3 linked regions of the Tamandua tetradactyla genome follow. The protein of the gene in region 2 purifies or fractionates together with the protein of the main gene of each other region. This does not show direct contact. Links are inferred from orthologs where the notes say so. Each region holds a gene or a part of one and is shown on either strand. Other genes may lie near its edges. The genes, in order: RHOC, ARHGDIA and EZR.

Region 1 (7,832 bases), on a different chromosome or scaffold from region 2:
ACACTCCCACACACCCCTACATGCACATGTGTGTGTGCACTCACCTCCAACTCTTCTTCCACTAGGGACTCTGCTTCTACTACTGGGGCCTGTTTGATGGGCATGCAGGGGGTGGAGCTGCTGAGGTAGCCTCGCGCCTCCTGCATCGCCACATCCGGGAGCAGCTAAGGGACCTGGTAGAGATCCTTCAGGACCCCACGCCACCCCCACTCTGCCTCCCTTCCACTCCAGGAGCCCCAGGCTCCTGTGATCCCTCTCATGTGGTTGGTCCTCAGTCCTGCTGGCCTTCACAGAAGGAAGTGACCCATGAAAGCCTGGTGGTGGGGGCCATTGAGAATGCCTTCCAGCTCATGGTGAGTGGATGACATAAGCCAGCGGTCCATGAAGAAGCTGCTCTAGTTAATGTGGGAATCTGGTGGCCTGGGGGTGGGGTGACCCTGAAAATCCTTGAGAGGTGGAGCAGAGCTCGCTTCAGAGGGGAGGGAAAGGAAGAATGATACCCATATCTTTCCTCTCCAGTGTGGCTTGGCTGGACCAGTTTATTTCTTGCAGATGGAAGGGGTGGCTGTGCGCCTGGAACCTTTTCTTTGTTTACTCCTCTGACTCTTCCTTGTGTGGCAGGATGAGCAGATGGCCCAGGAGCGGCATGGCCACCAAGTGGAGGGGGGCTGCTGTGCACTGGTTGTGATCTACCTGTTAGGCAAGGTGTATGTGGCCAATGCAGGCGACAGCAGGTATGGGGGGGGGGCTACTCTTGAAAGTGGCTTCAGGGGGCCACACTCTGAGGCAGCAGGGGTTAAATAAAAAATCAAAGGTTGAAGGGAGTCAGGAGGGATCATAGACACAAGGAAAGGCCTGAAATAGCAATGGGGGAAGGAAGTAAGGGGGTTTGGGTGAGGCACCCTAAGGGTCATTTGGGGGAAGGCCTGGTCTTTCTAGAATTCTCCATGTGGGGGCTCAGGAGAGCCAGGTTCAAACTTTCCCACAGCTCATAAGTTCAGGTAGTAGCCATACCTCACATGGGCCTTTCCTCTAACTGGGCAGGGCCATCATTGTCCGGAATGGTGAAATCATTCCAATGTCCCGGGAATTTACCCCGGAGACCGAGCGCCAGCGTCTTCAGCTGCTTGTAAGTAGGAACCAAACTCCCCACCCTTATTCTTTGTTGGGTTTTGTGCCTCTCTGCACCTTATGTCCCTGAGAATTCTCACATCTCACCATATAGACAGAAAGCTCCTTACTGTTTAATGGGAAGACCACTCTGTGGACTGTGGAATGCAGGGTTGAGCTGGGGGATAATGCAGCAGGAAAGAGCTCCCACTGTGGCCCCAGCTGTGGAAGGAAGGAGAGTGTGAGGTGGGGGAAGGAAATAGCGAAGGCCCCAGACTTAATGCTTAGAGAGCATGGCTTAGTGCTTGAAAGTCTGGGCCCTGGAGCTGGACTGCTTGGTAGTAAATCCTGGGCAAGTGTATTGCTAGTTTTAAGGCCTTGGACAATTCCCTTCGCCCCTCTGTGCATTGATGGTTCCTGTTTTAAAGGTTATTGCAGGATAAATGGGTTCAATCTAGGTTAATAGTAGAGCAGTACCTGGCATATAGTAAACTCTATTTAAAGGTTTGCTATTATTCATACCATCTATATACCAGCATGTACTGTTAACCCTGATGCCCCCTGGTCCTCTGCTCTGTCTGTCCACTCTCAACCCCAGGGCTTTCTGAAACCAGAGCTGCTGGGCAATGAATTTACCCACCTTGAGTTCCCCCGCAGAGTGCAGCCGAAGGAGCTGGGGCAGAGAATGCTGTACCGGGACCACAACATGACCGGCTGGTAACACTTCCCTTAGAGCTGGGGCCCGTTCCCATGGCAACGCAAGCAGTCCCTGGCCAGCAGCAAGGTGGAAGCTGGTGGCTGGGCCAGGCTGGAAGTTGGGGGGATGAGGCCCTCCTAAGGGGTCTGCTTGAGGGTGTGCAGCAGTTAGGGGAGAGGGGCTTTGATACCTGGGTGATGCCTCCTCTACTCCTCCCTCCCCAGGGCCTACAAAAAGATCGAGCTGGAGGATCTCAGGTTTCCTCTGGTCTGTGGGGAGGGCAAAAAGGTAAACTCCTGTGGTAGAGGTGGGAGAAGGCAGCAGGACCCACCACAATTTATCTAGGGATGTGGGGGTTTTCCCTGAGGGTAAGGGTGGAAGGGGGCTGTGGTTTCAGAGGGTCCAGGAGAGGACTACAGCAGCACCTCCTCCTCATTCCCTTCAGGCTCGAGTAATGGCCACCATTGGGGTGACCCGGGGCTTAGGAGACCACAGTCTCAAGGTCTGCAGTTCCAGTCTGCCCATCAAGCCCTTCCTCTCCTGCTTCCCTGAGGTGAGCCGTGTGGGGCCCCTGGCCACATCTTTGCTCCTCTGGGTGCCTTGGGTTGGCTTTCTTCAGGGCTCTCTTTAATCCCCAACCTCCCGGTCCACCAAACCCTGCACCTCGTCCTTTCTACCGTCTTCCCCTCTAGGTGCGAGTGTATGACCTGACACAGTATGAGCACTGCCCGGATGATGTGTTGGTCCTGGGGACAGATGGGCTGTGGGACGTCACCAGTGATTGTGAGGTAGCCGCCACTGTGGACATGGTGCTGTCAGCCTATGAGCCCAATGACCCCAACAGGTAGGGGCAGCATGGCATGGTGGTGGAGGGATGGCACTGGGGAAGGAAGGTGGGCAGAGAGAAGCAATGCTTGGGGACCCATATATGGGCTTCAGTATCATTCCCAGATAACATATTGATACTTAAAGTGCACATGTGCTTCTGGCAGGTACACAGCTCTGGCCCAAGCTCTGGTCCTGGGGGCTCGGGGCACCCCCCGGGATCGTGGCTGGCGTCTCCCCAACAACAAGCTGGGTTCCGGGGATGACATCTCGGTTTTTGTCATCCCCCTGGGAGGGCCAGGCAGTTACTCCTGAGAGAGACAGCCCCATCTCTCCCACTACCACCTCAGCCTCTCCTTGCCCACCCCTCTCCCAGCCCAAATGCTGAAGCTGTCCACTTGATTCTTCTTTAGAGGCAGTTTACTTGAAGATGGGGGTGTTACCTAGATCCAAAATTACTGCAATTGGTAAATAAATCCGATGGATAAAGTTGTGTGTCTTTATTTACTTTGCCTAGAAGCTGAAAGGAAGGAAAAGTTCTGTGGGGTAGTGGAAAGAACACCAGAACGGTTCCAAAATGTGTTCCCCCCCTCTTCTCTTCCTACTCCACACCCCCTCTGTGAGCATTCTCATCCACTCCTGTGGCTTCACTCATCTGCTGGTATCTTCCAAATCAGTATTTCCAGCCCAGGCCTTTCCTGTGCTTTAGACTTACACAACCCAAGTGTCTTTTGAACAACTCCTATATCCCACAGGTACTTCAGCTCAACATACCTCATCCTGAATTCATCATTCCCTCCCATATCAATATACCTCATACTGACTTCATCATTCCCTCCCATAAACATCTTTTCTCTCCTGGTTTTTCCTCTTAGTGGGCACCAGCTCAGTTGTCCACATTAGAAGTCTTAGGGTTGATCCCCCTTGGCTTCCATTTCTTCTGTATCAAACTGATCAATCACTAAGCCTTGCTGGTTATATGTTTTTAAATAGCACACCTTAGTTCTTTATTTTATCAGCCTCCTAACTCATCTCTGTCTCCAGGCCTCCTCTTAATAACCTGCAGACATAGCAACCAGAGTGACTTTTCCACAGTGAGAACCTAGGTTGGTTATTCCTCTGTGAGAACATTTCATGAGATCCTTTTTGCCTCAGGACAAAATACACACTCAACTGAGTGTGGCATATAAGGACTTTCATTACCTGCCCATTGCTTCCTTCTCCAGCCTCATCTTTCACCACCACCATCCTCAAATCCCACCCTCCTGGAGTTCCTCCTATTCATTATTTAAAATCTACACATCACCATATCTTGGACACTTCAGGTCTGGGGATCCCACAGCCCATGCATGCCCCATGACAGCCACTACCTCACTGTATTCTAACTGTCTCTATCAGGAGTCAGGAGGGCGTACAGCAGGGGCTCTAGAGTCCAGCTGTATGGATTCTGCTGCAAGACCCAAAATGAGCTCTGAAACCTCTCTGAGCCTCAATTTGCTCAGTAAAATGGAGAAATTAATGGTACTACCTCATAAGGTTGTTGGGAAGATTAAAGTAACTAATGTGTATAGAGCCACATAATTAATAGAGTTCAATAAATGTTAGCTATCTTTAAGTTGTCTGTATCCTGCATTTAGACTGTAAGCAGGCAGAAATCGATCCTCGGTGCATAACTCATAGTTCACACTCAATAAACGTTTATTGAGTGAGTTAATAGGTCCAGGTAGAGGGCTGCTCCGGATCTCCGTTTCCTCAGTTATCAAATGCGTGGCTTGCGTTTCAGATCTTTAAACTCTCTGTTATTTCGAACATTCATCCATTCAGCAAATATCTGTTGAAAATCTATTACGTGCCACATATGGTGCTAGAAAGTGAGGAAAGGACAGGTTAGAGGAGCATAGCCAGGAGAAAGCACCAGTTTTGGAGCCAGAAAAACCTGGGCTCGAATTCCTGCCCCTTCTCTGAGCCTCAGTTTCCTCTCTGGCAAAAGAGATCGCGGAGGACCTGTGGTGAGGGTTGAGCGTTACAGCGTGCGCGTGTACCCAGCGGGCGCCAGGATACTGCAGACTTCCTCGTCCCCCATCTCGGTCCTCAGGGAAGGAGATCACAGGTGTACGCACCGACCCGGTGCGACAAGTTAGACTGGGCTAACTGCCCCTGGAGGCACACAAATGATACAATGGGAGTGAGAACTATAGTCCCAGCTGGGGATCCGGAAGGATTTCCAGGAGAGGGAGGTAGGAATTAGACATTTGGAAACCGCGGTTTGGGCCTGTAAGGTTCAGAAAGGTCTTCAAGGCTTGGGGGATGGCGCGGGGCAGGGTACTCACCAGGCAGTGGGGCTGCAGGGGGTGGGCGTCTTCCGCCCGGCCCGGGTTTCCAGCCTCGCCTCCCGCCAGGTCCCAGGTCGGGCCGGAGCGGACGGCTGCTCGGCCACCGGAGGGCAGCAGCGGCCCTTCCTGACCCCACCCCGAGCGCCTCTCAACTTTCCCGACGCCCGCCCGCGCCCAAGGGCTGGAAGGCGGGGCCGAGGCTGAGCTCTCGGGGGGCCTGCCCGCCCCTCCCCCCCCGCAGTCACGGTTGCTCCCCACTACTTTCGTCCCATCCCGGGACAGACGCCGCAGGTCCCAGGCCGCGGGGGCCCAGGGCGGGCGGAGCTAGGGGCCGCCCCCGGGCCGACCCTCCCCTTGCCGGGCCCGCCCTTCCCGGCCGGCCCGCCCCTCGCCGCCGCGGCGCTGAAGGAGGGCGAGGCGGGGCCCCTCGGGTCAGTCTCAGCCTCCCGCACCGGCCACGCAGCTGGAGGCGCCCGAGCGGAAGGTAGGCTGGGCCAGGGGCCAGGGGCTGGGGACGCGGGGGTCCTGCGCGCCGGGGCCCGGGAGAATACTTTCCGTCCCTCTCTGCGCCCGCCCGGGGAGGCGGCTTTGGACCGAGCGCGGGCCGCGTTCCCTCCCCTCGGACACGGCGTCCGGGGCTGTGCGGGGGCCGGGCCCGGTCGGCTTCTCCCGCGGTTGCAGCGAGGCGTCTCCGGGAGCTGCCGGCCAGGGCGTCTCACCTCCCAGTGTCCGAGCCCGAGCTTCTTTCCTTCCTCTCCCGGCTTCCCGGAACCTGCCTCCGCCGGGCGAGGGGGCGACTTGGGGCGCCGCGAGGAGCCTCCGCCAGGCGCCGCAGCTCCCAGGCCCGGCGGCTCGCTTTGGACCCGGGGGAGGAGGGGGGGAGGGGGAGGAGGGGGGAAGTGGGGGAGGTGGGTCCGAGTCCGACCGGGGGTGGGAATCCCCCCTCGCGGACCCCGCGAGTGGCGGGAATAGGGGCGGGGTGTGGCTGGTGGGGGCTGCCCGGCCGGGCTGGGTCTGGACCCCGCCCTAGATGATTCTGGAGCTTGTCTAGGGTGGGTGTTGGAGAGGCGCAAGGGAAAGACCCAGACACCTTCTTGTGGGGTAAAAGAATCTCCTTCCTTCCACTTCTAAGCTGGGCCAGAGATAACGTAGGGGATTCCGGCTGAGTCCTGCTCTCGCCTCTGGTTTTAAAGTTGAGGAGGAGAGCTCTCCTGCGAAGGATTGAGGGGCGGGTGGGTCCGGTCACAGTGTCTTGTCTCAGGGAAGGCCCCCGAAGTTCCAGGCTCCGTTCTAGCCTGCACGCGGGTTTAGGGGCTCCTGATGGGCTCCGTGGGGCGGATCCTCCGGGCTACCTCTCACAGGGAGCTAGCTGTTGTCCCTGCCATATTGGCCCTGGGCCTGGTGGCCTGGCCTGGCTGGGCCCCGGCTGCTCTCCTGCCCAACTAGAGCTCAAAGGGAGAGGCTTCTGATGGAGGCAGGGGCTTCGGATTACTGGGTGCTGCCCCCTGCCTTGGCGTTCTGGACTCTGCCTCCCGCAAGCGCTGCGACCTAAACTGCCCTACCAGAGCAGGGCGTACTCGGGTGACTGGCATTTGCCCCAGTGGTGATTTTTCTCCTAAACATCGCTCTCCCCAGATTGGGATTACGGCAGTCTGTCTTCACACAGCTGGACCAGTTGAGCAAATGAGAGTGGATGGGGAAGTTGGACAAAATCCTGATGTCAGTCACCTGAACGGGGTTATCAGGGAACCCCCCTTTTTGCAGGATGGTTTTCATTTTTGCAGGGGGGGGCTCTGCTGGCAGAGTGAATGCCTTCTTGCCTGCCTTTCGGGATACTCTGGGAGACTTTTGTGGCTGTGTGCTCTCAACTCCTATAAATTCTCTCTGACTCATTTCCACTTCCCCTCATCTCATTTTTGTGAATGTGTGGAGGGGAGGGAGGAGCCCAAGTCCCCATCGTTGAGAAGAACTAGCCTTGGGCTGGAGGATTCGCTTCCAAGAAGGCAGAGCTGTGAGGTGGTATGTGGGGAGCAAAGGAGTTCAGCCCAGTTTTGACAGGATGTGGGACTGAGAGAGAAAAAGCCTGGTTTGGGGCTGAGATCGGGTTACCATCCCCTTGTTTCTTAAACAATCCCTGCCTGATTGGTGCTGGGATTGGCCCTCATTTGTCTCTTCTTTTGGGGCTCCTCCCAGCCCGGGCTCTTTTTTCCACCCCTTTTCCAGCAACCTTGACTTCTTCTCAGCTTCAGAGCCCGCCCTCTCTTCCTCCCCTGCTGCTGTAGGCCTGAGAACCTCAGCTGGCTGGAGGTCTGCACCTCCCCAGGGAAGGAGGAAGTGAGGCTCAGTTCAGGGGCGAGGAGCTGGGAAGGTGTGATGAGCTGTGCAGATGCACAGCCCTGTGTGTTAGGGGTGGGGGCACATGGAAACCCCGGAAGCTGACTTCTTACCCTGAGTCACAGGGAGGGGTGGGCAGGGCCTTTGAGTTCTCTGGACAGTGGGGAGGAGGGGGCTGTTCCAGGGAGTGGGTGGAGGTGATTCCCTAGTGGATTATTTTCAGTCGCTCTGCTGTGGCTCTGTGTGGCTCCCTACAGTGTGGTCATTGTCCCCTGCCTGGGGCTGAGTGACCCAGTGTTGCTGCCAGGCCCAGGAGGAAGGGGGGAGGAAGGCAGGCTGCCCGAATGTGGGCTGTGGGCACTGCCAGGACTGAGCCTTCTTTGTGTGACTTGGAGCTTTGGGGACCGAGGGTGGGTTGGGCTAGGGAAGCCGGCTGGCTGCTGCCACTGTCCTCTGTCTGGATTTCCCTGCATCTACTCTTCTTCCCACCTCTAGGGTGACGTATAGAAAAGTCACACACTCTGACATTACAC
Region 2 (7,652 bases):
CTGTGTTTGTGGGGCAATTCAACAGTCGTGATAGGAGATTCATTAAAAATAATTCCAGCTGAGATATTCAGAAGTAGATAAAACATTACTCATTTAGTGATCCGTAATAAAATAAGCAAGTGCAAAATGGTCATTGGTGTTTGCTGGGGCTGCTGACCAGAAGTTTGGTGAGGGCACCTGGAAATGGGCAGCCTGGGGTCATGGCACCCACTGCCTCTCACTGCAGCTGACAAGCAGGCAAGTTCTGCAGGGAGCCTCGGCATCAGTGCAGGGAACTGGACCAGCCTAGGGGGACGGGAAAGCCTGCCATGCCAGTTTGAAGTATTATGTACCCCAGAAAAGCCGTGTTTTAACCTTGATCCAATCTTGTGGGTTTCTTTTAATCCGGGGTCAATATTGTAGGGCGGAAACTTTTGATTAGAATACTTCCACCGAGATGTGACACGCCCCATTGTGGGTGTGACCTTTTGATTAGATGGAGATGTGAATCATCCATTTCAGATGGGTCTTAATTAGTTTACTTCGGTCCTTTAAAGAGGAAACAATTTTGGAGAGGGCTCAGAACAGAGACATGGATGTTTGGAGATGCTTGGAGCCCAGCAGATGTCACCATATGCTTTCCCATGAGATGTTAAGTGAGCCAGAACCTGGAGAGAGCCAAGGGAAACCAAGAGATGAAAGCCAGCCCAGGAGAAGCAAAGCGATGAAGTGCCCACAGGAACAAAGACCTAAAGCAAAGGAGCCTAGGGGCACAGGAGCAGCAGATGCCAGCCACGTGACTTGGCAGCTGACAGAACTGCTCCAGACCCACTGGCTTTTCTTAAATTAAGGTCTCTTTCCCTGGATGCCTTAGTTTGGACATTTCTATGGTGTTAGAACTTTAAGCTTGTAATATAATAAATTCCCTCTTTAAAAGCCATCCATTTCTGGTATATTGCATTCCGGCAGCTTAACAAACTAAAACATGGGCCCAACCACACCTGGCTTCTTCCACGCCCAAAAGACACAAGCACCAAAAAGGAGATGAGAGGCACGTTATCCAAGTGCAAAGTGTGGGGAATAAACCAATCGGGAAAAAGGCTGGGGGCTCGGGTAAAATTGAGTGTGTGGATGTCATGGTCAGGTTCATGTGTCAACTCGGCCAAATGATGGTTGGGCAAGCGCTGGCTTGTCTGTTGCAATGAGGACACTTCAAAGAATTAAATCATGAGCATGTCAGCTGCCTCCACAGCTGATTCCATTTGTAATCAGCCAAAGGGGCGTGTCTTCTGCAATAAGTGATGCTTAATCTAATCACTGAAAGCCTTATAAGGAGGATTCAGAAGAAACAGGCTTCCAGTTTCAGCTGGCGAGCCTCTCCTGTGAAGTTCGTCCAGACCCTCAGAATCGTCGCCTTCACAGCCTACTCTGCGGATTTGGACTCTGCGTTCCCACGGTCACATGAGACACTTTTATAAATTTTATATTTGCGAGTGTTCCCTGTTGATTCTGTTTCTCTAGAGAACCCTAACTAATACAGTGGATTACCTGATAATATTAAAGCTTTTTTTTTTTTTTTAACTTTTATTGTGGGAACATTTACAATGTATGTAACATTTCCCACTTTAAGCCCTTTGAATTCTACAATTCGGTGTATTGATGGCATTCATGGTGTGAGCTCCCATCTCCACTGTCCCCACCCTGTAAGGGATAGTGAGGAAATCAGAAGTCCAGTGGCTGCACAGTGACCTGTTCCCCAGCATGGCCCCGGGTATCAGATCCCCTGCTATACAAAGCAGCACCGACCATCCTTGTAACTAAACCTTTGCACACAACTGTGATTTGTTTGGACTTTTATTTTGATCTTTATGGTGACATAACAAAGTTATGAGCATGACATAACTTTGAAGGGCCCACTTCAGTGGCCCCTCACCACCATCCATCAGCGGCATTTGCCCAACACTGCAAAACCATCCAGCACTTTCCTCCAGATGGATTCCATATGACCTGCTGGGCAGGTCAGCCTGGCAGCACCTGCATCCTGCATGCTCACAGCACTTGGAACTTTTTTTTTTTTAATACCAATTTGATAGAAGGCTCAAAATAGTGTCACTTGTCCACTGTGATGATGTGAAAGCAAAGCACCACCTCACACCCAGAGGATCTTGGGTCCTGGAGGGCTGGCACAGCCTGCAGGAAGCAGACAAAAGCCATGTGCCTGCACACTGGAGCACGGGCAGGCGCCAAGACACCACAGGACCAGCGATTGTCCTTCCAGCAAGGCCAGGAGACACAGAAAGGACCAGCCTCTTGGTCAGCTCATCTCAATGTTGGCAATTTACCTCTGTTCTCATTCAAACAGGAAGTAACAAACTCCAGGCATTCGAGGAGAGCTGGCTGCAACTACAACATGACGAATTTTTGTGAATTTTCTTGGTGTTCTGGGTACACCTCACAGCTCAGTAGTGTAAACCAGCTGCTGTTTTGTGATGCCAGATTCTGCAGGTGGTGAGGTGAGAGGCCAGGTAGGGGCCTCTGCGCAAGCCAGGGTGTGGGGGTAGGTCCACGCTAGACCACCTGGCTCTTATGTCTCAGGTTTTGGGATTGCGAGAAGCAAGGTCCAATGGCCTCCTGGTTGCCTGGATGTGCTTTGGTGCCAAGTCCCTGGAGCCAGCATGGGATGCAACCTCTGGAGGCCTTGGAAGGAGTGACTACTTTATGCATAAGGGGAATGTGAATAATTTGCAGTTCCATTAAAGGTCACACATCCTTGGCTTCTCTTCCTGATGAGCCCTCCCACCGGGGCTGGCCTGGGCCATGGCTCAGCCTGCAGAGGCGTGGTTCTAGCTCTTCTAAAGTGAAGTTGCAGAAGTCTGATGAACTTTCATTTTGGAGCCCTGCCCTGAAGGAGAGGCCTAACTCCCTTGGGAAGAGGACCTGTCGGGGGGCCCCCAGTGAACAGTGGGAGCTGCCAGCAGGGCACCGAGCTTTCAGACACAGACCTTTGGGTGGCTCCAGCACAGTTCCCATCTGACTGCAATGGGGCGAACAACCCAACAGAGTTGACTTGACCCAGAGAACACGAGAGAATGAGGCATTACTGCTTCAAGCCACCACAGTGGACTGGCTTGTTACGTAGCTGAAGATGTTCCTGAAACAGGTGGAGGACGTGGCTATTGTTTAAAAAAAAAAAAAAAAAGCTTTTTCTTGTAAACTGGCCCTGAAACATCTATGCTTGACGAGAAGTCTGAGATTTGCTTCCAGGTTGCGGTGCATGGGAGGAAGGAGACTGGCTACGAGGAGCAGCTGTGGGAGCTCGGGCCAGGCCCACTGGGTTCGGGACACACTAGTCTTTCTACCTCCGTGGAGGTGGTGGGCAGCTTCTAGGGTGGCCCTGGGGAGCCCACCTCTGGGAGCTGATGTCCTTGCCTCCCGTGTGACCAGGAGGCTGGGGCAGAAGTGATGGCCGGCACTTCCAAACGCAGGGACGAGATCGAGTGCCTGCTTGTTCTCTCTCTGTGGCCTGCAGCCCATAGCCATATGAGTGGCTTGGAAGTGGATCCTCTGGGTTTGGCTCCTCGGAGACCACAGCTTCCAGGGAGACCCTTAGCCAAGGACCCCCCAGCTCAGCTGCTCCAACCTCAAGCCAGATAATAAACGGTGGTTGTAAGATTCTAACTTTCAGGGCAGTTTTTCATCCAGCAATCTGTCACTAATAAAGTGTATTAGGAAATGTTCTATCCTAGAGGTGTGTGTGTGTGTGTGTGTGTGTGTGTGTGCTTGTGTGTGTGCAAGCATTTGGGTTACCAGGCAGCGGACTTCCTCAAGCAACTAATGACTCAAACAGGAGTACCAGCTCCACTGGAACATTCAGCCTCTACGGCAGCAGCGGGGAAACCTCAAAAGCAACTTCACCATCCAAAAGAAAGGAAGCCTTGCTTTTGGCCCGGCTAAACTCCCTGCGCTGCCAACTCTTAGCCCAGAAGATCCCAAGATAGTCCTCAATAATCACAAACGTTCCAAAAGCAACCAAGGTCAGTATCTGTCCAGCACTCTCGCAGAGACTGCTCTCGGGTGCTGAGTTTCCGAGGCGGGACAACACAGGTGTGCGTGTGCTGTGCCGGCGTCTGCCCGAGCCCGGGGAGGGTGGCCTGTCCAGAGCCAGGCCGTGGCCCTGCTACCCGCGGCCGGACAGCCAGCAAAGAACGCTCTGGTCCGTCCTGGGTGCTTGAGGGATGGCCTACTGTAGTACCGTACGCAGGGCGACATCTCCCGTTTCAAGGCACTGTTTGATTGCGATTCTGCCGAGGGCCGAGGTGAGAGCGTGGGGCTTGTACCGGGCGGGTCGGCGGGCGGCAGGGTTCCCGGGGGTCCAGGGGAGGGAGACAGCAGGACGGCCCGCGGCGCTGGCGAAGAGCACGCTAGGCCCAGGGCCTGGGCAGGAGCCGGCCCGCAGCTTCCGGGCCCGGAGGAAAAGGCACAGGCGGCGGTAGGGGGCGGTCCAGCTGCCGGCAACCGAGCGCCCCTCCCACGCGCAACGCCGGCCTACGGCCTTTTGGGGTACCGAGGCCTCCCCGCCGCGCGTACTCGCGGCCCTCAAGATGGCGGCGCGCGCCCCTGCCGCCCGCGCATGCGCCCTCGTCGACCCCGCCCGGCCGGAGCGGAAGTCGCGTGACCCCGGAAGTGACCGCGGGCGCGGGTGGGGCGGCGGCGACGTTCGTCATTCGGTGCGGAGGGAACGCGAGCGCCCGCGATCGAAGCCTCCGGTGGGTGCCCGCCGGCGCGGGGCGCGGGGACGAGGGGGCCCGGGAGTCAGGGGCGGTGCCGCGGGCGGTGGCGGCGGGCGGGGCGGGACCGCCTTTGTTCTCGCCGCCCCCGCGCCCCGCCCCACGGCGGCCGCCCCGGGGTCCAGGCGGGCGCGGGGCGCGCAGGGCCGGCGGGGCTGGGGCTCGCGGGGTGCGGGCAGCCGCCACGTGAGGAAAGGGGGCGGCGAGGCCCTTCTTTGGGCGGCACGTCTGCAGCTCCTAGCTGGGCCGGGCGGGGCCTAGGGCGCGCCCCTCCCCTGGGAACGGAGCGCGCGTGGGCGCCCGGCCGGGGTCGTGGTTCCCCTGTGCTTCTCGCTAGCGATCCCGCGGCCTGGGGCGGTGTCCCGAGCCCCTCTCCTCGGGCCTCCGTGCCCCGCCCGGCCGCGCCCGACCGCGCCCGGTCGGGATTGCTGCGCTCTGCGCGGAAGATCGTGCCCCTGGGGCCGAGGGTGCCCTGCGGCTACGCTGCTCCAGCGGGCGAGCAGGAGGCCTGGGAAGGGCTTGGGCCACCCCCGGCAGGCGGCAGCTCGCGGCCCCATGACACTGAATCCTTAATGTTGGCAGGTCTGCTCCGGGCTTGTCGCCTCCCGAGTGCGCCGAGATCTCGTGGCTCCCACTGACCGGAAGGATCGAGTGAGTGGGTTATAGAGAGAACTGCTGGGTTCCTCAACGGTGGTAGCGGTATCCTAGCAGGGAGTACGCTGCCCCGGACTTCCTGGGTCCTGAGAGGTCTGAGTGGTCCCCGCGGTTTCTCAGGCCTTGGTCACAGACTCTCACAAATGGAGAGGGCCTTGGCAGAAGCCCGGGGCCCCCACTCCCCTGAGACCCCTGCAGGGCTGGAGCTTTGTCTCTGGCTGCGGCTGGGGGAGGGACAGCATCCGTTGCCAGGAAGACCTAGTTCAGTGACCTGTGGGGGTGGGGGTATCACTTGGCATGTGTGAAGCAGCAACAGGGCCAGGGGCTTGGCTGGCGTGGGAGATGATTTAGCTCGAGGCCTACCAGTCGTGGGGTCCGGGGCCCACCTAGAGCCCCCTGTGCTGCACAGGAGGGCTGTGGGGCTGGGAGACCAGCCTGGCCTGGGTCATGTGGTATCCATGGCAGTGGGATGAAGTAGGGTGTGACCTGTGTCCTGCTGTCTCTTGATGCCAGAGGATGCCCATGGAGTCCAGGTGTCACGAATTGGGGTGGGCTCTGGACCACCCAGCAGAGCTGCCTGAGACAAGCAGGGCAAGGGGGTGCCCCCGTGTCTCAGGCTGTTCCTCTGGTGACTGGAAAGCTCAGCTGCAGAGGGAGGCCCCCTCGGGGCCCTGTGTGGCGAGGCCAGCTCTGCCGATGGCCCTCTTCAGCACAGTGCTAGCCGAGCTGGCAGCCTGGCCTGCAGCAAGGGCTGGAGGTGGCCCCAGTTTGACAGACTAGCAAACAGCTATATCAGAAGTCCAGGCTGCCACAGCCCAGTACTGTGCCCCAGGTGTCCCCGACCCGGCTCGTGGTGAGCATGGCCGAGCAGGAGCCCACGGCCGAGCAGCTGGCACAGATTGCAGCCGAGAATGAGGAGGATGAGCACTCGGTCAACTACAAACCCCCCGCGCAGAAGAGCATCCAGGAGATCCAGGAGCTGGATAAGGATGATGAGAGCCTCCGCAAGTACAAGGAGGCCCTCCTAGGCCGCGTGGCCGTGTCTGCTGGTGAGGCCCCTGCGGCCCCCTCCAGGGACACCTGTCACCCCATATTCCCACACTGCACCCCACCTCTGTGCAGAGGGGTGGAGTTCTGACTACCTGTCTTTCTCCTAGACCCCAACGTCCCCAACGTTGTCGTGACCCGCCTGACCCTGGTGTGCGGCACTGCCCCGGGCCCCCTGGAGCTTGACCTGACAGGTGAGGGTGCTGCCTGCTGCCGTGCTGCTATCCCTAGGGCCTGCTGCCCCCTGCTGGGAAGCTGAGCAGGTGCAGCCCGGCGGGCTGAGCCTTGGCTTTGTGAGCCAGGATACTGCCGGTTGCAGGGGGCCCTGCATGGGCCGGGTGGTGGTGGGTCCCAGGTCTAACAGGCAGCGGGGAGCTATCCTGCTCTGAACTTTTTGCTGATGCGTGTTCTCCTTTTGTCTAGGTGACCTGGAGAGTTTCAAGAAAGCGTCTTTTGTGCTTAAGGAGGGGGTGGAATACCAAATAAAAATTTCTTTCCAGGTAAGGCAGGGGCCGGGGGACCTCAGGGGGTGAGGCCTGGAGAAGCCCCCTGACCCTCTACCGGCATCCTTGCAGGTGAACAGGGAGATTGTGTCCGGCATGAAATACATCCAGTACACGTACAGGAAAGGGGTCAAGAGTGAGTGTGGGCAGTGGGCCCCGGCTGCCTGGGAGGTGATTGGCCCTGCAGGGAGTGGGTACAGGTGCCTGACGGCTCTGGGACCCGCAGGAGTGAGAGGCAGGGCTGTGCGTGTGTGTCCCTGTGGATGTGCCTTCCCGTCCCCATGCTCACTGCTGTCCTCCCCCTCGGCCACAGTTGACAAGACTGACTACATGGTGGGCAGCTACGGGCCCCGGGCAGAGGAGTACGAGTTCCTGACGCCTATGGAGGAGGCACCGAAGGGCATGCTGGCCCGGGGCAGCTACAACATCAAGTCGCGCTTCACAGACGACGACAAGACTGACCACCTGTCCTGGGAGTGGAACCTCACCATCAAAAAGGAATGGAAGGACTGAGGCCAGGCCTGGGAGGCGGCAGGGACGGACAGACATACCCCATCCCTCTCTATCCTCCCTGTCCCCATCCCCAGACCAAAGTGCTGACAGGGCCACCCCTTTGCCGCCTGCCCTTGCCCCATCTGCCTCCCGGCCGAGCTCTCCCAACCCTCCCTGCACCCCTCCCCAG
Region 3 (7,758 bases), on a different chromosome or scaffold from region 2:
TAGTTTGGGCTGAAATAGACATGATAACCTTTCAATTAAAGGATACATCTAAAGAACATGTTGGTGATGTTTGAGATTTTACATTTGCTGAGGAAGGCAAGAGAAAAAAAGCATTAGATTCTCTAAAACAGTCTTAGTGGTCCCTTGAAGGCTACTCAACTCTTCTCAGTGGTCTGTGGGGTGGGCCTAACACAAAGTCACACAAAGAAAATCCCCAGAATGTTTATCTTACCAAGGCTCTCCCAGAAGAAAAACGGGCAGATAGGAACTTCCTACAGCAAACAGGTGTGGTTCATCTAAAAGTAGACCTCAAGAACGTCTGACAAGCATAAATTTAGATATTATACAAAATTACAGAATTTCTAGTTATTGGAACACTGATATACAAGGTAACAACTACTATCCTTCCTGAACAGTGCAAACACTATCTTCACATTGTAAGAACATTGTCCAAGTTTCTGATCCATCATAAAAGATCTTTAGGAATATGAAATCAAAACACACCTGCAACCAAAAAAATAAATGGCAGTTCATTCTGAAAATTTTTAAAAATAGGAATAAGAAACAGATTTGCTGTTTTCTAAGTGCCATTTTAAATAAAGCTAAGCTCTGCATCTTTTCTTTTAGTGAAATAAAGAAAATCACACTGGAAGTGGCACCTCTTGACTACTCTTCTGCATAAAGTGTTAACTGAGCTATGTCTGATTAGAGAAGTCAGTTTTACAACATTGGCATTATAAAGCCCAGATTTCACGTGTCACTTGTAAATTTGAAAAGAAAAGAATTATTTTGTATAGGAAAAAGATGTTCTGGATCCCAAATGAATCACCTTGAAGATAGAACAAGTAAAAATAATATTTACTTCTGTATCTATTAACATATCATTATAGTAATTTAATTTACTCTTAACGGTAAAATAAGACTTAATCAAGAACTCCTTTTACAGACTCTACAGTTTAATGGGAAGGAATAAAACCGACATTTAACCAGTTGTTGATTATAAAACCAACCTATTGCAATTCTGAGGGAACCCAGCCACATTTGTGATTCAAAATTCAATTTAAAATTTTAAGCCATCTCCCCAATGTCTAGTCGCCAGTTCACCTGTGTTAAAGCCAGGAGCATACACACAAGTTTCTAAGAAATGTCATTTGCAGTAAACCAGATTTATTCCCACAACTCAAAGGCTGTAACCCTCCAGGCCTGGCCAGCAATCTAACCCAGTACTAAACAATCAGATTCAAGGTGACAGGGGTGAAGGGCACAGGAGAACTTTAATCAGGTATTGTTTACCAGGAATGCATGACCTGCAAGAGTCTAAGGAACCTCCTTATCAAGCTCCACTGGCTACCTTCATCTGCAATTCAAGTCCATTACCTCTTCTAGAGATAGGAATTCTGCTGCTACCAGCAAATTCCCTGGTTAACAGTACGGGTTTCACAGGCCTGCTGTAAAATGAACCATAAGCTGACAGCCAGAAAAACAGCATCTCCTGGGCTAAAGGAAGAAGTCGGTTACATTTGGTTTCCACACTTAAATCCAAGTCGGTGCATGTCCTCTTGAAGCCACTTAGCGTCTTCCTACCATGTAGACAACTTTTCTTTTTAAGAAGTTGCAACAGAATACGCTTTTAGAACACACTATAAAGCAGTGTAATAGGGGCTTCTATTTGTTTTAAAAAGGACCATAGCTATGGGGACCGAGGGATGTCTCACACACACAAACTGTAGAAAGAAAAGTACCATGATGTTTTCTTGAAGAATTCCACAAGGTACCTAAATGACCAAGAGCAAGGCAATTCCCTATTCCCGTCCTTTCGTTCGTTTAAGAAAGAACCCTGTACTACAACTACTTTCCACAACACTTCATGCAGGTGACCCTGCTTGAAAGTAAAGCTTGAAGTATCCCGCCCGGGTCGGAAACTGGATTGCTTACTGGTTTCGGCATTTTCGGTTCCTGGCGTGTTTTCGTCGATTCTCTAGAAACTCAGCTCCGCGGGAGAGGCCGAAGTGATTCTTCCAACCTGGAGGAAGAGGACAGTCCTGTAAGGCACAGGGCTGCTGGGATCCTCCCGCCGAGGACGGAGACCCCACGCCCGCCCCGCGCGCCGCGGCTTAAGAACCCGCCCGGCGGGCGCCCGGGTGAGTCACCGCCCAACCCACAATTACTGCGGGCCGGGCGGGCCCAGCGCTCGAGGCCGAAAGGCTGGCGGAGGGGGAGCCGGCCGCAGGCGACCTCGGGGCGTGGGCCCGGGCAGGGAGACAGACGTGGGAAGGGAGCATTAGCGACCCCGGGAGGCGGGCGGCGGGGAAGGGGGCGCGGGCCTCAGCGCTCCCGCGAGGAGGTGCGAGCGGTAGGGAGGGGCCCGGAAGACGAGGGTCTCGCCGAAGGGTGGGCAGCGAGGTGCTTCTCTGGGTTTCAAGGAAGCAACGAGTAAACCAGCAAACAGTAAGTTTCACTTTGTGTAGCAACCGTTCGCCCCCGGGCTGAAACCACAACAGTCACATCTTTGAGAAACACTTTTTTAAAATTTTAACTGCCGGGAAGCGGCCAAGGGCCCGCTCGACCCGAGTGCGGCAGGAAGGAAGGGGCGTCCGCGCCGCCCGGGCCCCGCTTCCACTCCCGGGGGGAGGAGAAGGGGGATGTGCAGGGAGAGGGTGGAAGAAAGGCGGGCGTTTCCGCAGCCGGCGGCCACCACCTGCCACGATCTGGGGTCGACCGTGAGCGGTGCCGGGTAAGGGAACTCGAGCGAGGCGGAGGAGAGAGGGGCTGGCTCCTGGCTCCCCAACCCCGGACTCGAGACGGCTGCCCCCCGCCCGTCGGGCCCGGCCGCCCCCGCCACAGCTGTCGTCGACCCCCTACCTCCGGCTCCCTTCTGCCGACGGCACGGCGCCAACCCCGCTAAGCAGCCCCCCGCCGCACCCCGGGGCAGAAGCGTTCGGCTTACCCACGGCGTCTGCCAAGTGGTCTGCTGTGCTGTCGCCGCTGTCTGTGCGTCCGTGGTGTGCCGCCGCCGTCCGCATTCGCCAGTCCCGGGCGAGGCTGGGAGGGGATGTCCCGGCCGCGCCCCCTTCCGCCCCGCCCCTCGGCCGCCCAACGAGTGAGGTGCGCCCCGGTGAGCGCAAGATGGCCGCGGGCGGCGGGCGTCCCTTCCCGCCCGGCCGACCCCTCCGGCCTCGCAGGCGGCCCCCTGTACCCCGGCGGGGCCATCCCAGAGCGGAGGAAACTCGGGCAGGCTATCCCCTGCCCCTCACCCCCCGCCCTGCTTTCTGTTTCTGTTGTTTTAAAGACCTCGGCCTTCCCCGTGGCCCGTTCCCTCGCCCTTGGAGAAAACCTAGGCAGAATTTGGTTTAACTTCTGATAGCAGACGTAAGGTGACAGACGGAAGTCAAGGGAATTAAATCAGTGCGTTGTGGCGGGCAGCCCTGGGAACTTGTGCGGGTTTGGGGTGGGGCCGTCCTCGTGGTCAGGGAATGTTGCAGTCCCAGGAACCGAGCGGCGGGACCTGGCGGGCATGGGCGTCTCTGCGCATTAGGCCACCGGGCCTCCGGTTCCGTTTCCGCTAAGCTACAAGGAGAGGAAACGATCGCGGAATGCAGTGACTAAAGGACCAATTTGTGCCCTCGTTTGACTTGACTAGCAAAAAAAAAAAAAAACTTTATTTCATGCCGTAGGAAGCTTCCTCTGAAATTCTAGGAATTTATCCTTTTTTTTGGCAAATGGTTCTCAAAAGGAATCTTTTTTTAAAACAAAAACTCACGCACATCTGGTGACCAGTGGAATTTGTTGCACAGTGATTATGGGCGCGAGTTCTAGAACTGTGATTCTCAAGAGTGTGGGCCCCAGACTAGCGGCATCAGCACCACCCAGGAACACGAACAAACTGAAATTCTCGGATTTACTCAATGGGAAACTCTTGGGGGTGGGGCCCAGGAGCCTGGGTATTAGCAACACCCTTCCCTCCCCAACCCTCGCCCTTGGTGATTGGGATGAAGGCTGAAGGTTGCCATCCAGATCTTCTCCTGAACTACTTTCCCGGTTGCCCAGCAACTCACTGTCAGAATGGGCAAGTTATTGAACCTCTTTGTGCTTTATAGTCTTTTCACCTGTAAAATGGCATATAACAGTATGCCATATCATAGGGTTGTTAGAGGATTAAATGAGTTGATACATGTAAGATGTTTAGAACTGAGCCTGGCACTGAGAGTAATCCGCGATTTGCACAAAGTATCAAACTAAAACTTGGTAAATATAAAGTGGGGAAAGTAGCACGTCCTACCTAGGATTTCCGATTAACTGAGATACTACAGTCCCCAAAGCGAGTTGTTTTTTTTTTTTAGGTTACCCTAGGTCAGTCCACCCGAGACCTCCCAAATCTAAGCAATTCAAAGACCGGAGGTGAGGAGCACGGCCTTGCCTGAGCTTTTGTCTTCTCTCCTAGCAAATGTCTTCCCTCTGAAAAACTGAATTTATTCCTTCCTCCGTCCCTTCCTTCTTTCCTTCCTTCCTTCCTTCCTTTCTCCCTCCCCTCCTCCCTCCCCTCCTCTTTCCCTTCTTTCTTTCTTTTTTTTTTTTTTACTTAAATAAAGAAGTAATGATCACTGCAGTAGGAAGGAAACCATGAATAATATTTAAATAACCCGAATGATATGTGTCCAAGTGGCTGTGGTATTCACTTCATCACTGCCTGGAGCCATGCTGATTTCCCAACTCTGCAGGTAGAACATGCTTCTACTCTCATTTTTTATCTTACTCAGTTCAAAGTATATGGCTTTCTAAACTGGATGTTTGAAATAGCAGTGGCCCAAGACCTTCTGGAGCATTTCTGAACTTTACTCTTCAGGGAATGCTAAAAAATAACATGGCCTGTGGCAGTGTGGTAAAAACGAGAAAATGGCAGGTGTTGGAAGGAAGCTAAACTGGGTCTGAATTCCCCTTCCAGCACTTAAAAGCTGGTCACTTTGGACAAATCACTTAACCTCATTGAGCTTCTTCCACCTCTTCGTTCAAAAAATGGAAATAATATATATTTCATGGTATTCTATGCCATCAACTCGTAAGCATTTAACTTACTCAAATCTGACTTTAAGAATCCTCTTTCTTTTATAAGTTAAAGTCATATTTTACATATGTATTCCTCATTCTATATATTTCTCTAAGTATTGTACTTATATCCTACTGTACATTTCTTTTTTCTTCACAAAAACATTTGTACTGTATTTTATGGTTGTTTTCAGGGGACTTTCCGAGGGTATTTTATTTTCAGCTGACTTGAGAACCTAAACCCTTCCCCTACCGCTGCCTCCACACCTCCACATACAATATACATACAGAAGATTGAACAACAAGGTGACCTATGGAATTGCTTAGGACAGTGGTTCTCAAGCTTTGGTGTACACTGGAATCTCTCAAGGAGGCCCTACTTTTAGGGATTGTAGGTCAGTAATCCTAAAGTGGATCCTGGGCCTCTGCCCTTAACAAGATCCCCAGGTGATTCTGACTTATACCTAAATTTAAGAAACAACTGACTTAGGATTTGGCAGGATCTTGATAGACGCTATTTACCTTGCCTCTCCCTTCAGCCTTTTTTGGCAACTTATTCTCCTGTATTTTTAAGTCATGGTTTTGTTTAATGTATGATAATAAATGCAGTTGCAGGAAATAAGGAAACACTGGAGCCAGGAATCTTGGATCCTATCCCCTGCTTTCTTTTAGTCTAGTTGACTGACCTTGAATGACTCATTCCTCATTGAAGGGTTTTAGTTTTTCAGTAGGAAGAGGGTAATCATCTGTCTACCTCACCAGCCTGGTTTGTAAATTGGTTGGGGTTTGCGGGGCAAGGTTAACCAAAAGTGAGGTAGACAGTCCTCACAGCAGCTTTAGAAACCGTGCCAAGGACTAGAACTTGTACACAGAACATTCACAGTCCCTTGATACCTAGATAGATTTTATATAAAATCACATCAGGGCCTATTGCTGTTATATCTCCACACTGGTGCCAGGTTAATCTGAATTAATTTTTTAAAATTATGTGAAGTCTCAGCCACTTCAAGAGAACAGTAATAGGGAAATACATTAAAAATATCCTTGGGGTGAGCCCCTGGACCGGAGAAGTCCTGAAATGCAGAGGGGCCAGCCTTTCCAGAACATCTACTGGTTCCATCCCCCTATCCCACATTATCAACAGCCCCTTCCAACGTGAAAGAGTTAGAAGGGCCATAGCCCAAATACCCCTAAAGAGTGAGAGAAAGATCAAAGATGATGGTGGAGTTTATACAGAGAAGGCAGAGTTTAACAAATAAGTATTTTTAATTAGCTGAATTAGTATGTTGATAATTGTTTTAGTCTCTGAAATCTGTTCTACAACTAGTTGTAACAATGTACTTTGAAATTTATTGCTTTCTGTAAGTATGTTATTTTTTCACAAAAAAGAAAGAGCAAAGAATACAATACAGAAGATAGGATTTGACAAATGAATATGACTGCTGAATCAACACTGGTATTTCTTTTGGTCTCCAGTATCTTAGAACAAAAAATGAAAAATCGGAACTATAACTCATACAAACTTTAAAATCTGTTGAATAACTTCTTGGTAAAATGTACTTGGAAATTAAAAACAAAATAAACAACAAAAATAGCCTTATTGGATTTAAGTTGGTTTAATAGCTTGGTTTTATCAATGGTAAATATAAAGCAGTCTTTTGAATATGCTTGTTCCTTTTATGAATTGTTTAAGGCTGAGTCCATTATGTTCAGCATTCCTAAAGGAGAACTCACAGATTTTTTTTCTGATCCTTATTCTTGTTTCCTCCGATATTTCGTTTAGTGGGTTCGAAAGATCTATATCAAATAACCCTAGAGTCTTTTACCCAAACCATGGGGAGGCATAAAGTGCTAAAATGTCCTCAGATAGGAAAGCTGCTTTGTCTGCTAAACCAGTTAAGATTCTTTAGAGGCAAGCAATAGAAACTACCTCTTATTTAGGAAAGAAAAATGGATTTGTTGTGTTACTACTGAGAAACTGAGAGAAATAAAAAGGGAGAATAGTACATTCCAAACTTGAAAGACAGAAAGCAGTACAGCACCAGAGATTTTAGCAGCAATAATTCATGGATTATCTAGAGCATTAATATCAGATAATTAAGTTCCAAGTGTTCAGACATTGTGATTTTTTTCACTGAAGAGTCACGTATCCAGGAGGAAGAATCTGGTCACCAAGTATGGATCATTTGCCCTCCACTATGGTGAGTGAGGCAAGGCCCCATGATTGACAGTTTATGAGAACAAATTAGAACGGGGAAGGGAGTGCTTTCCCAAAGGAGGTGATGTTGGTGAATCAAAATACTATATTAATACTGTATTAGATTTCTGAAAGGATTCATTTGTTCCCTTCCCTCTCTCTACTAGCAATTACATGACTTTGATAAGAGTATTTTTATCTTAATGGTCATAATGTATATCTTCTAAACCAGGTAACAGCAAACAAGTGGCCCATCATTTGCTTTTGTAAATAAAGTTTTGTTGGAACATCAAAAAAAAAAGTATCCTGGGTAAAACACGGATTTTGATTGTTTTCCAGGACTTTATAACCTCGGGTGAAAATTCAGAACAGGGCGGGCCACGGTGGCTCAGCAGGTAAGAATGCTTGCCTGCCAAGCCTGAGGATCTGGGTTCGATTCCCAGTGCCTGCCCATGTTAAAAAAAAAAAGAAAATTCAGAACAGAGGCTATGTCTGGATGATGCAATTGGAGAAGGCTA

What was found.
Region 1: the proteins of ARHGDIA (region 2) and RHOC purify together in Homo sapiens (affinity purification with mass spectrometry; 4 studies listed by BioGRID and IntAct, with this or other methods). This does not show direct contact. The link is inferred for Tamandua tetradactyla from reciprocal best matches to the Homo sapiens genes ARHGDIA and RHOC.
Region 3: the proteins of ARHGDIA (region 2) and EZR purify together in Homo sapiens (co-purification; 3 studies listed by BioGRID and IntAct, with this or other methods). This does not show direct contact. The link is inferred for Tamandua tetradactyla from reciprocal best matches to the Homo sapiens genes ARHGDIA and EZR.

Annotation. Positions count from the first base shown.
Region 1 is NC_135337.1:9,332,470-9,340,301, forward strand, and holds the start of RHOC (rho-related GTP-binding protein RhoC), read left to right. Parts: upstream 1-4,753; 5' UTR 4,754-4,811; coding exon 4,812-4,869; intron 4,870-4,962; exon of another isoform or gene 4,963-5,290; intron 5,291-5,332; exon of another isoform or gene 5,333-5,449; intron 5,450-7,832. Other genes in the region: PPM1J (protein phosphatase 1J), read left to right, coding at 66-353, 622-734, 1,045-1,129, 1,709-1,827, 2,032-2,095, 2,253-2,360, 2,500-2,651, 2,800-2,947. UniProt on the Homo sapiens protein: Regulates a signal transduction pathway linking plasma membrane receptors to the assembly of focal adhesions and actin stress fibers.
Region 2 is NC_135332.1:74,062,319-74,069,970, reverse strand, and holds ARHGDIA (rho GDP-dissociation inhibitor 1), read left to right. Parts: upstream 1-4,638; 5' UTR 4,639-4,745; intron 4,746-5,348; 5' UTR 5,349-5,417; intron 5,418-6,252; 5' UTR 6,253-6,279; coding exon 6,280-6,469; intron 6,470-6,577; coding exon 6,578-6,661; intron 6,662-6,890; coding exon 6,891-6,967; intron 6,968-7,042; coding exon 7,043-7,106; exon of another isoform or gene 7,107-7,283; coding exon 7,284-7,483; 3' UTR 7,484-7,611; downstream 7,612-7,652. UniProt on the Homo sapiens protein: Controls Rho proteins homeostasis. Regulates the GDP/GTP exchange reaction of the Rho proteins by inhibiting the dissociation of GDP from them, and the subsequent binding of GTP to them.
Region 3 is NC_135328.1:151,859,549-151,867,306, forward strand, and holds the start of EZR (ezrin), read right to left. Parts: upstream 3,060-7,758; 5' UTR 2,948-3,059; exon of another isoform or gene 2,863-2,947; intron 2,449-2,862; exon of another isoform or gene 2,165-2,448; intron 2,024-2,164; 5' UTR 1,948-2,023; coding exon 1,936-1,947; intron 1-1,935. UniProt on the Homo sapiens protein: Probably involved in connections of major cytoskeletal structures to the plasma membrane. In epithelial cells, required for the formation of microvilli and membrane ruffles on the apical pole. Along with PLEKHG6, required for normal macropinocytosis.